Linked DNA regions of Arabidopsis thaliana. The protein of the gene in region 2 interacts with the protein of the main gene of each other region in a pairwise test. Each region holds a gene or a part of one and is shown on either strand. Other genes may lie near its edges.

The links.
Region 1: the proteins of AT1G76110 (region 2) and AT5G24680 interact in a two-hybrid assay, tested with the Arabidopsis thaliana proteins (one large-scale study listed by BioGRID).
Region 3: the proteins of AT1G76110 (region 2) and AT1G18610 interact in a two-hybrid assay, tested with the Arabidopsis thaliana proteins (one large-scale study listed by BioGRID).

What each region holds. Positions count from the first base shown.
Region 1 is NC_003076.8:8,452,045-8,456,388, reverse strand, and holds AT5G24680 (Peptidase C78, ubiquitin fold modifier-specific peptidase 1/ 2), read right to left. Parts: upstream 2,815-4,344; 5' UTR 2,724-2,814; coding exon 2,668-2,723; intron 2,558-2,667; coding exon 2,425-2,557; intron 2,329-2,424; coding exon 1,613-2,328; intron 1,510-1,612; coding exon 1,395-1,509; intron 1,320-1,394; coding exon 1,224-1,319; intron 1,115-1,223; coding exon 1,031-1,114; 3' UTR 871-1,030; downstream 1-870. Other genes in the region: AT5G24690 (plant/protein, putative (DUF3411)), read left to right, coding at 10-174, 330-606.
Region 2 is NC_003070.9:28,554,108-28,559,618, forward strand, and holds AT1G76110 (HMG (high mobility group) box protein with ARID/BRIGHT DNA-binding domain-containing protein), read right to left. Parts: upstream 3,509-5,511; 5' UTR 3,359-3,508; coding exon 3,180-3,358; intron 3,086-3,179; coding exon 3,007-3,085; intron 2,897-3,006; coding exon 2,734-2,896; intron 2,277-2,733; coding exon 2,178-2,276; intron 1,772-2,177; coding exon 1,389-1,771; intron 1,294-1,388; coding exon 1,180-1,293; 3' UTR 927-1,179; downstream 1-926. Other genes in the region: PETE1 (plastocyanin 1), read right to left, coding at 110-733; AT1G76120 (Pseudouridine synthase family protein), read right to left, coding at 4,706-5,030, 5,121-5,511. UniProt on the Arabidopsis thaliana protein: Binds preferentially DNA with A/T-rich content. Required for karyogamy during female gametophyte development, when the two polar nuclei fuse to form the diploid central cell nucleus.
Region 3 is NC_003070.9:6,404,019-6,410,402, reverse strand, and holds AT1G18610 (Galactose oxidase/kelch repeat superfamily protein), read right to left. Parts: upstream 4,797-6,384; 5' UTR 4,625-4,796; coding exon 4,444-4,624; intron 4,122-4,443; coding exon 3,972-4,121; intron 3,879-3,971; coding exon 3,711-3,878; intron 3,497-3,710; coding exon 3,344-3,496; intron 3,249-3,343; coding exon 3,096-3,248; intron 2,842-3,095; coding exon 2,677-2,841; intron 2,575-2,676; coding exon 2,434-2,574; intron 2,324-2,433; coding exon 2,137-2,323; intron 2,055-2,136; coding exon 1,808-2,054; intron 1,698-1,807; coding exon 1,572-1,697; 3' UTR 1,558-1,571; exon of another isoform or gene 1,437-1,557; 3' UTR 871-1,436; downstream 1-870. Other genes in the region: TRM3 (LONGIFOLIA protein), read right to left, coding at 187-212.

The sequences.
Region 1 (4,344 bases), on a different chromosome or scaffold from region 2:
TTCTGACAGAGTATCTGTGACGGTCCCATCTATCAGCACAAATGCTCTTGGTTATGGTGCATTTCTTGGAATATATGCCAACTTGAGATATCAGCTGTTATGTGGATTTGAAAGAGGAGTGAGCAGTCACTTTGACGTCATAGGAGTAGCACTCTTCTTCGGCACTGCCTTGAGGTATTCTCTTTCTCCCACATATGTACATGTCATACATAAACAGGACATGTTGGCAGTTTGGATATTGTATTGTAAAACTCTGTCTTAGGACTTAGGAAACCTTTAATCTGGGGATCAAGATCGTTGATGAATATGGATGGATGTATGTGGTACAGGATTATGAATGTGCAATTAGGGGAAAAGTCAAGACAAGTATGGCTAGGTGTAGAGGCAGACCCACTGGCGCAGTCAGATGATCTGCTGGCAAAAGCATACAACCGACCCTCAGAGGAAGCAGTAGCAAAGCCATCTTCAAAATGGTTCATCTCAAAGAATGCAATTGTCTCAGGGCTACTCGGGAAGAAGCAAGAAGATTCAGTTTCAGATTCTCCACCTCCAAAGGCTCGGCGAAAAAGGATAGTGAGGAAGAAGGTGGCTGCATCTGCCTCTTAAATAACCAACAAAACCTCTAAAATGTCACAATTTTCAGAGTCCATGGAAGAACAACAGTGAGGTTTTGTTGTTCATTTGAGGCACACATGAAAAAGGTTTTGTTGCCAGAGGAAGGAAGAAGGGATCACCAAACTTGGAGGAATTGAAAAAAAGCTCTATAGCTTCTTTTTTTTTTTTTTTACTTTATGACTCGTTCTCTCTAGTTTTAAGTGCTTTTGGAAAGACATTTCTATTTTTAGGTGTGGTGATAAAGATGCTTATCTCTGGTTAAAATTCTGTATTTTCTCAATGTTTCTAATAAATAGCCACATCTTATACGTTCGTTGAAACTTGGAAAGTCATAGTAGTCTAACTCCTAGTCCTGAAAAATTGCAATTAATCTAAGAATCTTCAAGAACCATTCTTCAATTTTTGATGGAAGTCATTAGAATTCAACAAAGTGACTATCAATGGTTTTGAGCTTCTCCAACTCCTCTCCATCAGCAATTCCATTATCAACGTACAGCATCTGTATGTATATATCATCACAATATTCCCCAAATCACACTCAGACAAAATCACTTAGCTTTATGCAAAATAACAAAGAAATGATTGATATCAGAGTTCAAAGCTGAGACCTGATACTCGGGGCATTTCAGTGTGTGAGCTCCTCTTTTAAGATATCCCTCCCATCCTCTCTTCTCTATAAGCGCTATCTCTATAGCTCTAGTAAACTGCATTCACATTCAAGTCTCACAATCATTAATCACATTCAACTTTAGTAAAAGCTGATGTTCATGTATACTCACATCAGCCGGGTCCAAAATTAGGAGATTGTACTGAGGAGTAAATGTAGTTCCTTGCAACCGTCTCTGAACCCCAACAATTGTCCTCGAGTGCCCTTCATGTTGGAAATACAAGGGCCTGCAGTACACACGATAACATCAACTCAGGAACCTTAGACGTAATGTGTTTTGAAGTTACAAAAGACATTTCAGAGATCAAGAACTGAAACAAAACAACCTACCCTTTATTCGTAATATGAACACCGGATGAAACACTTAACCTGTTATCTGAGAAGTAATTCCAAACCCATTCCATTAAAACCGCTCCTTTGCTGATCCTAGAAGAATTAGAACTATGAGAGTCAACTGCTTTTCCCTTCCCACTTCCCCCCTTTTTAACCATATATCTGTCCATGGGACCATATGACTTTACCTTGGGTGCAATAGCAGAACCAGGAACTGAAAGATACATCGATTTAGACTTCTCGGGAGCAAAATCAACAATCCTCGCTTTCAACCCGAAAGAACGTAACAACGCAGCACATTCAGTAGTTCCAATCCATCTCTTGGAACCACATATTCGATTATCAAAATGAAGAGCTCCAGAAACATCAAACCCCTTGTTCCAAGCTAACTCAAGCCATCGCTGGAGCGAAGGAATATCAGGAACAAAATTAGAACCACCAAAGAGAACTCTCTTAGCTTCTTCTCTATGAGAAAGCAAATGAGAGCATTGCATTTGAATGTTCTTCCATCCACATCCCCAACCTTTATCCTCCTTCGAAGATTGAAAATGATCAACAAAGCCTGATAGTAAACTAGTACTACACTCTAAAGGTTTCGACTTCAATTTCAGTTCTGACTCCAGACAGTTCCTCAGCAAACAAATCAAACCACCATGACCTACACTATAGAATTGACTCTTAGTCTGTAACTGGACCAAGGAGGCAACGTTGTTCTGCAGAAATGAAACAATGTTTTATCAATTGGGTTTTCTTTTCTGAACCTAACACAGGAGTGGAAAGAAGATTTAAGGGTTTTAAGAAAGTATTACAGATGATGAAGCAGAGGAAGACGAAGAAGGATCATCAGAAGAATGATCATCAGAAGCGAGTTGCAGAGCCAAGTGGTGATCGGTTTCGATTTGTGGATTGATTTCATCGTCTTCGAAGTGGGAATTCACATGGCTGAGTCAAACCATCCACCATAACCAGACAAACACATCAAGACCTCGAGAGAATGCAACTAAGAAGCATATAGAAATAAGGGACACAAAGCTGAAATTAGGGATTGATACCTTTGGATTAGGGAGAGAGGAAGCGTGAGATTGCAGACAGGACACAAAGCTGACATCTTTATAACCCGGGACAAGAAAAAAGTCGCCTTTTTTTCACTCTTTCGTTTGTTTTCTCGCCGGAAGAAATCAGAAATTGACCTCCTCCGGTGATGATCAAAACGCCTGCGTTTAATTGGAGTGCTTGTGGTGCATTGATTATTTCTATTTTTTTTTGGAATTTTTAATTCTTAATGATTTTTATTTTATTTTTGTGTTAAAAGATAAATTTAAACGAGAGAAAGTAGAAAATAAAGAATCTTAATTGGCCAATAATTATGGTAAGTTTTAATGTGAGGAACTAATATTTCTCTTTTGGAAATATAAATCAGAGATGCATGTACACGTTTTACGACTCAACAAGTCACAACGTTGGTAACAAACCAATTTTTGAGAATCTCTTATAAATATCACATGTGTGTTTAGTAGGTCTCTATGTCTCAAAACACAAAATATCATAACAAACAAAAAAACAAGAATGGAGAATTCAAGCTTTGAAACACTTCCTTATGATCTACAAATGAAGATTCTGTTACCGATGCCTCTAAAAGTCTTGGCGAAATGGCTATGCGTCTCAAAGCAATGTGCATCATTTATTTGCTCCGTAGAATTCAGAGAAATTTACTTGAGTTGATCAATGAAAAAGCCTCGAGTGTTGTTCGTCACCAATGTTTTACCAATCTACCAAAACAAACCCGAAACGTTGTTTCATTCTGTTTGTCAAGAGGAGGAAGCATTGTTCTTGTCTTCCGGTCAACAAGAGATGTGTACCAACGAAACACCACTTTGAAATGTTTCTAAACCCATCCAAGGTTTGATTTGCCTTCAAGATACTGAGGTTGCGATTTAATTTGCAACCTGGCTACGCGAACGTTACGGAAATTACCGCAGATCGAAAGGTCTAACGGAGCATGCATGAAAAGTTTTTTCGGATACTACAAAGCTAAAAAAAGTAATCAAGTTGATATGTATAAGTTTAACTAATAATAACAAATATCATGTATGCACGGTCATGTAATCTAAGAAAGTAACCAAGGTGCGTACCAACGACGCACCACTTTGGAAAGTTTCATGTGTTCTTTAGTCGAAGGATTGATCAAGTAAATGTGCCTAAAATCGTCATGGATCTGAATCAAGACCAATCCATCACAAGATCCCAATACTTGAATGGTTTTATTTTGACATTTGTCGATTGGATCATCAGGAAAAGTGTAGTAACAAGAAGAAGAATGACAGTTTTTTCCGTTGTTATGGTCATCTCTAGAAAAAGTCTCCAAAAGAAAAGTTATTGAGTTGAATCTTCTTCAACAAAATTCGCTGAAAAGTGTTGACTAACATGAAGATATTTCATATTAGGGGTTGGTAAACCTGTACGAACGAGTCATTTGTGGGAAAAGTAGGTTGATTTGATCATTGATCTCCATTTTTTTACAAGACTTTGAATCTAGCTAGTGATTTTATTGGAAGATATTGAAATATCTCTTCAACTATATCCTCTGATATAATCATTGTCGTAGGATTATTTTTTATGCATTGAAAAAATTGTCTTAGAATTATTATGTTTGTCACCCTCCATTCTTTTCGTACGATGATAATTCTTAGTTTAGATTTTTATATCAATATATAAAGAAATTAATGATC
Region 2 (5,511 bases):
TAGTAAACATTATATGATCCTCTTTATCAATCCAACATTCTCTTCCAAATTAGATTTATAAATCATGAATATGTAAGCTCCTACACGAACAAGAGAATATCTAGACAATTTACTTGACGGTGAGTTTCCCAACCATACCAGCACCCTGGTGCGGCGCACAATAGAAACCGTAAGAGCCTGGCTCTGTCAAAGTAACCTCGTAAGTCTCCCCTGCACCATTTAGAAGCGCTGTCTCATCCATCGAGATCTTGCTTGCGTCCACACCACTAGGGATCTCGTCTTCGTCGAACACCACGTTATGTGGGAACCCTGCGTTGTTCTTGAACACGATCTTCTCTCCTTTAGCCACCGTGAATTCAGATGGTACGAAAGCAAGGGAACCGTCGTCGGATCCTAAAAGAACCTCCATGGCCATCGCATTTCCAGCTAAAACGATCGAAGCTGCTGTTGCCACTGCGATGACACCGAAATCCTTCAAAGAGGACTTCAAAGCGAGCTTAGGTGGCGCCCTGGTGGCGGAAGTGGATCTACTGATGGTGGATAATGTCTTAGGTTTTGAGCTGACGGCGAGCTTTAGGCCGGTGAAAGAAGGGATGGTGACGGTAGCTGATGTAATTGCGGCCATTTTCTTTACTTTTTGGGGTGTTTTGTTGATCACTTGTAAAGAAATGAAAACATTATGGGATTTTTGATAAGATTTGAAGAGAAAATAAAGCGAGAGAGTTATCTGCATGTGATTGGTTACCCTAGATGTTTTGTGAGGTGACGTGGCATTGTTTGATAGCTTTGTCTAACGTTGCATAAGTAGATAAGGAGACTTTGAACATTCCAAGTTTTCATTAGTATTTCTTGTTCTTGTGGTATTTATATTACTTAGTTACTAACCAACGAATCGAATGCTAAATTGCTAATATAACCTAAACCTCTTTTTTAACATGCAACATAAACCTCTTGTTTAACAGGAAAGGTTTACGAAAAAGGATTAATACATTAGAACATCTAAAATTCTTAAATAAATAAAGACTCTTCAAGTTTGGCAAGTCTAGCCTCTCACTGAGCCTAGTTAAGCAAGCATGGACAACTACAATAAGCTAGAAAATAAAAGAAACGGCGAGGCGTCCAATCTTAAAAGAGAGAAACGACCTACAACAAAACGACTTGCCGTTTTAACTAAATCACCTAAAAAGCCTTGCCGTTTGTCATGTCACCATCCCTAAGTCTCAACGTTTCTCTGTACTCATTCAACTCCCTCTGATACCTTTCCTTATCCTTCAATCCAATGTCTTGATAAACCTACAAGCAATAACCAAAACTCGGTTCAGTTATCGATTTACTACAAATCTAATTTCATCACTAAATCGGTAACGGTTTAAAAGATAATTTGTTACCATTCGTTCTTCGGTAGAGAGATTGCTCCACGATTCTCCGATAAGTTTCGTAAACTCTCTCTCCTTGTTGGGATAAAGTGATTTGAGCTTGCAATGTTTCTCAGCAAAGAAGAAATTGTAACCGCTCCGGTTCGGTTTCGGGTAATTCGGATCTTCTCTGCGTCTGCTTCTTCGTCTTTTACCTAAACGACGCCGTCTCCTCCCAGTTTCAACATAAGGTACAACGGCATTGTTTAGAACAGCGGTTGGAGATGATGATGGGCCGGGCTGGGCCGAATGATAAAGAACGCCGTTAAGAATCTCTGAGCCCAACTTAACTTTTACCAGATAACCACAATCGAATTTGCCTTCTATTGTACCTATGGCTGTGAAACTCGACGAACCTGTGCCATGTATTAAATATCACATGTATAATCATAAGCAAACCTAGATACATTATCTTATAAAAAATTTCTATGTGAACCAAATCTTATAGCTACTGGTCTGGTCCACGTCATCGGTTTATTATCCAACAAAATCCAAATAGATTTGCATCAAACATAATGACAGTGGGACCATTATGATTCTACACTATATTTGAAAAGTATTGCGATAAACACTAAGGTTTTTATGATAAGTACATAAAGCTAACTAGACAATTATCATACGAAATTAAACTGTGCCCCTAAATATAAGTTTCACATATACATAATCATTAACTAAGACCTTAATCATTTTTTGTCATAAAATGATGATATAAAGCATAGAACAAAGACAAGTATATACTAGATATTGATAATACGTACGAACCTTGAGAAGGAGGATGAGTATTATGATATCTTATACTCGGAGGAGTATATTCGACGAGCGCCATTTCTTTGCTCGTTGAGGGATTTGCATGAAATGTAGCTGCAAAAATTGATTATCTTATATGTAACATAAATAATCGTCGCTAAATAACTTATAGTTCCAAGACATAAACAAAATTACAATAACCATATAGATAGAAATGATGACAATAATTCGGGTATATACAATCGTTGAACTCCCACGTTTGTAGTAAGAATGTGTCCCACGATTGAACCCATGACTTCACATAATTGAAAAGTTATTCTTATTATTTTATTATAGATTCAAGCCTTTCAGACTATCGTTAATGAGTAACAACGAATTGAACTTTCTAGTCCTAGGGCATTAAAGACAATATGGGAACCATCTTATGATTCATTGATTAGCATTTATCAAACGGTTGAATTAAAGATTCTCAACAGAAACAAATCTATGATAATTGAAGAATATAATGAAATGTATACTATATATATTTAAAAGTAATCAATTGAAGAAGGTTTGAGAAAAAAAAACAAACCTATGGGATGAAGAAGAGGACCACGAGCAGTGAAGAGATGAACTTGTTCGTAATGGAAGAGAAGATTGAGATAATGTTTCCTTAAGACAAACGAAGCACTTGTTGTTGTCGCAGAGAATCTAAACACTCCTCCAACTTCCCTCCATTTTTTCTCTACGACTACCTATCAATTCAACATGCATTTTCAAAACAACACAACATATAAGAAACGATAATAAATTACCATAAAGTAAAAAAATATCTGTATTGAAAAAGAAAACAAAAAGTGTTGACCTTTTCGTAACCTCCCCTCCTCGTGACTTCCACATACAAAACATGCAAATCTAGTTCTTTTCCTCCAATCACAGGAATCCTTGTTTATATCACACAAAAATAATAAAATAAGATAGATGAAATGACGAAAACTAAATTTATTAAGTAAGAAGAAGAGAAAGAATAATGGTTACATGAACTTAGTGGACATAATTGAGTGAAACCGCCTGAGAGTATCCCAGAAGACAGAAGAATCCTTGACGACAACTTCATGTAAAGCCAATGGTTCTGGATACTCTTTAATCTTCGCCGGCGAAGTCGCCATCATTTCTACCGTCGCTTGAGACGGTGTCGATTCGTTGTCCGATGACATCGCTATAGAGAGACTTTTAGTAGAGACAGATATCTTTTTTTTGTTGGGGAGTTTTTTTTTTTTTGTCTGGTCTCTCTTTTTTGGGTTTTGGTTTAAGGAAAGAAGAGAAAGATAACGATTCAAGATAAGATTTGTGATTAAATCAGAGAGATATAGAGATAGAAAATTAAATTATTTATTTTTGCTACGGATTTAAAAGTAACGGACGTGAGGATTTGTCATTTTCTTTCTTTTTGTGAGTTTTAATACATACCACATAGATATAAGGAAATTTAAAATTTTAAACTTTATAATTGTGTATATATTTGCTTTCAAATTATTGTTTTTATTTTCGAGGCGTTTTGAGTGATGTTGCTTTGTAATTTTTCTGATACTACTAATACTGTATTAATTACTTTTTCACTGTATTAATTAAAAAGTAATTATTGCACCCCACCTACTTTAGTTTTTATGCTTACGAGCAGTCGAAATATGGTCACATCTATTTCTTTCCAACATAATCAATCATTATTTTATTTTTGAAATTTCTTAAGTCTAATTTATATGAAAACATCGATAATATCTAAAAATCGGACTGTCTTGCTTTTTTTCTTTACCGGTTTAGCATATTAGATTCTTTCACTTTTATTTTAGTGTTATATATATAGTGAGTATTCAAAAAATAAGAGCGAAAGTGAAGAATTTGTAACACGATCTATGCACTTTATACACTAATGATACTTGACAATTTTTAGGTGAGGAATTTAAAACTCGTACGATCTTTATATATCAAAGTTTTTGGGCATTGAAAAACCTCTGAAAATTAAAAATATGTCACTGTTGAGTATTGACATGCATTGGTAAGCGAAAGTTAAAGTAGTACTTATTAGTGCAGACGGAGATAGGAGTCACACCCTAAAACTCATTGGGTCAATCGAAGTCTGACATTTTATTTACCCTAAATAACAATTAAAATAGTAAAAATGACAAGAAAATTAAATAGAAAAAGTTATGGGCCTTATGCTTCGGAGAGGTTGACGTGCGATTAGGGATTTTATATATGGTTCTGCTCATATGTAACGTCACGTCCCTCTGCCTGTAGATTCGGTTCCACGTTTCTTCCTTATAATCATTTTTTACCGATTCTTATTCGATAAACATTTGTTCAAATAAGATTCTTCTCTCTTCCATAAATAAAGAAAATCTTTTATATGACGACGACGTTGGAGGATAACAAATCAATTCATTAGTGTCACCTTACAACACAAAAATATACTAATTTGATTAAAAAGTTACAAAAATGGTGGGATTAACCAACAATAACAAAAACAATGTCAAAATCTTCAAACTAAGCTTCCATCATTTTGCTTAGAGACTATGACTTGCTCTTTCATCAATTTTCTTATGAACAAGAACTTGGTCTGTGTTTTGTCCACAGCTGCCAAAGTTTAGGTCTGGATAGTTTCTATAGTTCAAGGAATGTAACCAAAGAGCCATATTTCCGTATTTTCGCTCTGTAGCGCCGATATGAGAATAGATATGCTTCAATTTGAATGCTTCAGCTTCTTCTTTGTATGCTTCCATGGACACTTCTTCATGACTGTCTTCAAAGTTTCTGTTATAAGACGTGAAGAAGCATTCGTCCAGATAAAGTCCAACTTCTGGCGCCATTGGTACAGTTATATTCACATCCCTGGTTACATAATTTCCGAACTGAGTATCAAAACAAACAAAACTATAGACATTGCAAAGCTTCAAAACCAAAGAAAAAGGAGAAGCTTACTTGCTGAAAGCACTTTGGATAAGTGATTCAGAAGCACAATTCCGCATGATTGCAACAGCAAGACCCATCATCTTCCGAATCTGATGAAGCATAAAGCTTTTGCCTAAGACTTCACACTTGATAAAGTCAATCCCATCAAGATTAATCACAGTATTAGCAGTGAAGGAGATGATTTGACGATTCGCAGTCGGATCATCTGCTTTTGTTCTTGTAGTGAAGTTATGGAAATTATATGATCCAACATAACAACTTAGTATTCTACTGAACCTTTCCTTTTCCTTTTCACCATAACAAAACTTGCTCTTTACCTTAGTCTCTGATGAATTTGTATTCAATTTACAACTGTCTTCTTGTATCCTACCTACTTCAACATCTACTGAGCATAAGCCAG
Region 3 (6,384 bases), about 22 Mb from region 2:
ACAAAGCTCAATGTGAACGCCATTTCCCATTGCTCTCCAGCTAAATTACATAGCTTAAATCCCTATCATAATGAAAAATTCGCTTTTTTCTTATACGTGGTAAATTGGGTAGAGTCTAGGCTAGCAGAAACATATGAATCTATTAAACCCTATTTTCAACACCTAGATTCTCAAATCCCCACTAACCCCAAAAGGAATAAGACAAGCTCCATTATTACAGAACAAAAGCTCTTTTGTCTGAAAACTTAATCTCCCAGAAGAAGATCACTGATCAGAGAATGTACATTCAAAACCTTAGGGAAAGAAAGAAAGCGCCAAGCAAAGAAGAAGAAGAATAAAGAACCTCTGCAAAATGTTTCCTCCTGGTTCTGCTCAGAGAACAAAACAAAAAGACAGCCACATAAGAAGGAGGAACTTGTTGGTTTGTAAATATTGTTTGTTTGTTCCAATTCCTCACTCTTAAAGACTTAAAAGCTCCAAGATTTTAGATTATCTTTAGTAAGTAATATGGATAATAAAAATAGAAATGAGAGAGATCGTTCATGAGAATTGGAGATACAGACGCATTCTCTCAAATCATGAATCCATGTGGGAAGGAAGTAGGATGTGATTACTTCTTTAGATGTCTCCCTCTGCATGTGACTTCTGTCTTCTAGTTTAGATTTTCTCCAAATTATCCTTCTTTTTATTTCTTCCCATTTTTTCTAAAATACATTGCAAGCACTATTAAATATAATGGGAAATAAAGGAGGCCATCAAAATAAATGAAAATAAGTTTTCTTCTCTATGTTTTTACATGAGCAAAAAGAAGAAAAACGAAGTAGTTGTTACATGAAATTTAGAAATTTTGTTTTCATGTAAACAGGTTGATAGAATCACATGCTATGCTAATCAACAACGAAATTAGTTGGATATGGAACTACATGCTTTAGCCTTTAGTAGTTGGATTGCCAACTAGGACTAGTTTGACTTTTCTTCTACGTTATCTCCAAAATTTATGTTTCCTACTGAATGATCGACCAAATTCTAATCTAGCTCTAGAAAGAGTAAACAAGGCTAGAGTTGAAATTGAAAACCATAACATGATAAAGGGTAAAACCAGTTTAGAAGAATCACTCCACATTCTAGAATAAACCATTTTTATCTGACATTTAAGCTAGTTCATTGTGCAAAAAAATAAAAACTATGAGGGAGGAAGCATAACATTGCTTGGAAGTTGAATTAAACCCGAAAAAAGGAGAAAATTGCAGAGAATAAGAAAAGAAGGAAAAGAAAAAACCTAACTCAGAGCTAGCTTCTCATCATCCTCACCAGTGACCACGATAATCTAACTTAGATTCTAAATAAAACCCACCCTATCTCCAGACTAATGTACAGGAAAAGAAATGATGTTGTTCATGCTGTTGTTCCTCTGTTCATAGCGGAGAATCTCTCATCTGTAAATCAAATGCTCAAAACGAACAGAGTTAGACCCAACTAGTTTTAGATGCAATGGCTTCTTCTGTTTTTGTGTAGCCTAAAGATTCGATCATAAGGACTTTAAAGACGTTAGCCCACCTTTGTTTTTGTAGCTATGACTCTCCAAGTCCGGTCTTGTTAGCCCTATCATCTATCGTAATCGCATTTCTAGATTCTAAAGACGCTTCATCAACCTGAGGAACTGATGATGGAGCTGTATTCACTGTATTCACAGTGCCCTGCACAAAGATTTTCAGTATTTTAGGGTCAAGAAATTGCATAATCGGCATTTTCAGAAACGAAATGACTAAAGACAGGTTCTTGAGGATATATGATTTTAAAAACGCACCATATCGAGTTGACTTGCATCTTGGTTCTTGGCATCAGAAGTAACAACAGAGGTTTCTGTTTCGTGTGGTGCCACTGCCACTGTGGTTATGTTAACACCCAGAGGGTTGCTGATGGTATCAATACCAGCCTCCATACCGTTTAATTGAGAATCTTTGGATTCTACAGCATTAGCTTGATCCTTGATCAAAGTTCTTGATATCTTTGATCTATTGTCCTGATCCCCGTTCGACATAGCTGGCCTCTTTCTATACAACAAATACACTTGTTCACAAAACGATGCACACAACTGAAAACCCCGGAAAGAGGAAGATTAATTTAACCACTCACCTACTAAAGCTTTGATCTGCCGGCAGAATAGAGCTGCGCTTGTTTGAAAACAAAACACCACGAAGCACTTTTCCATCTATCATTGTTTCCATAGTGTAACCAACCGGGTAACTCTCGGTTATCCGGGCTTGAAACATCATCTTTCCTTCATTAAATTGGCAAGTGTTCAAACCAAAATTTCCTCTTCCTACAATAAAATCAAGCATATACAAACTAGTGAGTTTCTGCTACAGAAAAAATGCTACCTTTGTATGTTTCAATCTAATATTGACTAGCGCAGAGTCTGCCTAAACACACCTTGATGATCCATATTGATTCTGACAAGTGATTTATCGTACAAGGAACTTGCATGACTTTGTTCTTGGCATTTTATCTTCAATTGCTTCTTTAGAGACAACATCCCTACATTTTGATCAAATCTTGCATCGTATCCAAGACCTATTAACCGGAAACAAAAATGATTAGAGTGAGAAAATCCCTGTCCAGATGTCCCTATGAATCAGATAGGCAATAGGTGAATTAAAGGGGATTTGCCGCAACCTGTCTGTAAGTAGAACATGTCATCCAACGCCTCGAGATTCTTATTGCAGCCACCAACAATGACAAGAAAACCAGCTTTGTGAGGATCTAGACAAGCCCCTGCAGAAGAGAACCTAGCAGATGGTCCTTCTCCCATGGTGAGAACCTTGGACCATATACACGTATCTACAGGTACAAACAACAACAAAACAAAAAACAATGAGAATATGCGTAATTACAAAGAAACCAATATTATGACACTAATACACTTTAGAAAGCCTTTTACAGGTTTCCTTCTCATGGAAATTGGATACAATGGTTCATCTTAAAACCTTTAACCAAGCAGATTTTGTTTGGACAAGAAATTAGGACCAAAGCCTATCTACCACATAAGTCATAAGTATTATATATGGCTATTAAATGATGATTCAGTTACATACCGACATCAAGCACATAGAGATCATCGTAAAGATTCTGAGCATCCGTAAACCCTCCAAAAACAAAAAAGTTCCTCCCAAGTGAAACAGTAACATGACCAGCTCGAGGTGTCAACAACTGCCCTGAAGTATTCAACTCTTTCCATATAAGTGTATCTGAAAGTCAAAAAAAAATAACGTACATTAACTTTCAGATAAAAGACAAACACTCGTAAAGGTTAAAAGAACATGAATTCAAGATGCTTTTTCACCTGTATCAAGGATATGAACATCGGACAGATAGTAGTCATGTCCATCTTCGCCACCTATAACAACAAGTTTGTTCTTCCACGATGAGCAAGAATGGCTATCCCGCGCAGATGGAGGATTCCCAATTGTAACAGCCCGTTTCCACACAAAAGTTTCTACACAAGCATAAAGCCGATTAACTTACTTGCATCCTCGAAAATTTAGTACAAAAGTATTTTAAAGACTCAACATTAACGCAAGAAAGGATATGGTTTCAACTTGTTTTTAAGTTAGAATCTATCTAAGGTCCCTTATCAATGAATAAAAGATGATAATATGGAAAAGATTCACATGCCAATTTGAAGAGAGCCATGAGTAACCAACCATTACCTGTATTAAATATGTAAACGTCATTGTAATAGATTTCTTCATTAATACCAGAAGATTTCCCACAGCCACCAAAGACAAACAGCCTTTTACCAACCAGTGTGGCGCTATGACCTTCTCTTGCCTCAGGTCCCTCTCCCCTAACACTCGGACATTTCCAAGTATGTGAAGCTATAACCACACAAAAAAAAATCAAACAAAGTGGGAATGACTTCTTCATATAGGGAGAACTCAAAACTTGAAATATACAAAGAGAAAGCTTACAAGTATCTAGAATATACAAATCCTTAAGAGGGTTAACTCCATCAGTACCACCAAACACAAAAAGATTGTCGCCGACTGTTGTACAGCTGTGACTGTCCCTGGGAGGAGGAGGTGTGCCATTGATCATTGGCTGAGTCCATATCTGCTTTGCTGCAACAAGGATCACCACAGTGAGAGAGCAAGTAAACCACAACGGACCAAAAGCTTCCTCAAAAGAGTCAAACCAAAATCATTAAAGGAAAAAGCTTTAAATACAAAATTGGATATAGAGAAATGGGGATGTTTCTCATACCAAAATCTGACAAACAAAAAACAAATCAGAGTGTAATTTCTTATCCTAAAGCAGACATGCAATATGGATGAACAAAGGTAGGAAACTTAGATGATTGTCTAGAATCGAAATCCGAAATGGGAATCAACCCAAATCCGCCATTTTTTGAGAACAGAGACGATGTGGAAAGAGAGAACTAACCAGCGTCGAAAACATGGACTTGATTGGTTTGGCAATTATCTCTGCCATAGCCACCGAAAACATAGAGAAAGCTACCTCCTTTAATGGCGTTACAAGTGTGACCCCACCTCTTACCGGGCCCGGAAGAAGACTCACCGAGACCCACTTGTTGCTGTAGTTGTCGGACCCTTTCCCACCTCATTTTCCGGGCGAGAATCGTTTGGGGTGAGAAAGTGCGGGAAAATGAAATGGGTTCTTTTTTGGAGGAGGAGGAGGAATGAGGAAGAAAGAAAATCAGAAATCCAAATTATATCTTATGGGCGATTACAGATGATAAAGCTGCTTCATTTCTTTTGCTTAGGTTTTTTATTCGGTTACCGGAAAAATAAATTAAAGAAGAGAACAAACAAAAAAAATTGAAAAACCTGGTGAAGAGAAAAACAAAAAAAAAAACTTTACTTTATTACGTGGCACTTTTATGACGTGTCGAGTATTTACTGGTTGTTTATAAGTCTCTTAAAATAGTGAAATGGGTCCCGAGGCTTAAGGATTTACGTTACAAGGATTTTCGTTTGTGTTTTTTTAATAACTAGATGAGTACTCATGTTACGCGTGGGTTTATTTTGAAAATTGTTAAAGTGTTGGCAAGTGCTGCTAGCGGTTCCGCAACTCTCCTTCGTTACTTTATTTAGAACTTGATTGTTCTTTATGTTAATTTATATTTACTATTTGTTTATTTTTGTATTGTTAATAAAATTAGATGCATAATTTGAAGTTACAATTTTTATGGTTAGATTCATTTGTTACTTGAAATATTAATTTATATATTTTTGTGTATAAAGCTGATTATTTATAAGATTTTAATATTTTTTTACTTCATAAATACATATAAAAACAATAATGATATTTTGATGCAATTCTGTGTAACAATGTTATTTTTGTAGTTTAAAATTTTTCTAACTTGATTATAAATAAATCAATTCCTTGTATACTTCAAAAATATTGTGATAGATTCATAATTAAAGTTTGGATTGATATCAACTGAAAAAGATCTTAAGAGTATTCGTACAAAAAAATAAAAATATAGCAAAAATTGATGTCATTGAAGTCAACACTTTTGGATCTTTTGTCATTGCATATAACAATATTAGAGAAATGATTGTGTCTTGGATGATTTGAAAATTGTTCAACTTGATTATAAATAAACTATTTATAGTTTTATTTATTCTCCAGATATAATACTCCAACAATATTGTTATAGGCTCATGATTAAATATATAGAATTGATATAAACTGAACAAGATTTCAAAAATATTCATATGAAAAGAATAAAAAGAATTCAAAAATTAAAGTATCATTAAAGTCAATACTTTTAGATCTTTTGTCATTGTATATATCACTATAAGAGAAATGATCGTGTATTACATTATTTGGTAGGTCTAATATTTTGAAGGTTTATTATTTGAAAAAATTTGAATGTCAATGTTATCAAAGACTCAAAATTAAATTACTAAACAAATAAGAGGTTAGGTAGCAAACAAGTACAACACAATAAAAAATTAGTTATGATTATTGATGATAAAAAAAATTAATAAATAAAAAGAGTATAATGAAAGTAGTACTTAATTTGTTTACATAATTTTATTTTTTATTTTTATTTTGGAGAAATCAATTAAGAGTAGGATTGATAATATATTTAATTTGTTTATTTAATTTTATTAGTTTTATTAATTTAAAAAACATCGAATGACATATGTCACTTTGTTGTGTGATGATGTGTCATTAACAATATGCAAATTATTCAAACTATTAACTAATCTATAACTACTATACACTCATAATTTGAGTTAAGATTACAGAAAAAATCTTTAAGTATGAGAAAACCAATCAAATAATTTTATTGAAAAACATGTAATAACAAATAAATTTAATATTAGTACAATTAAATATATAAAATTAAAT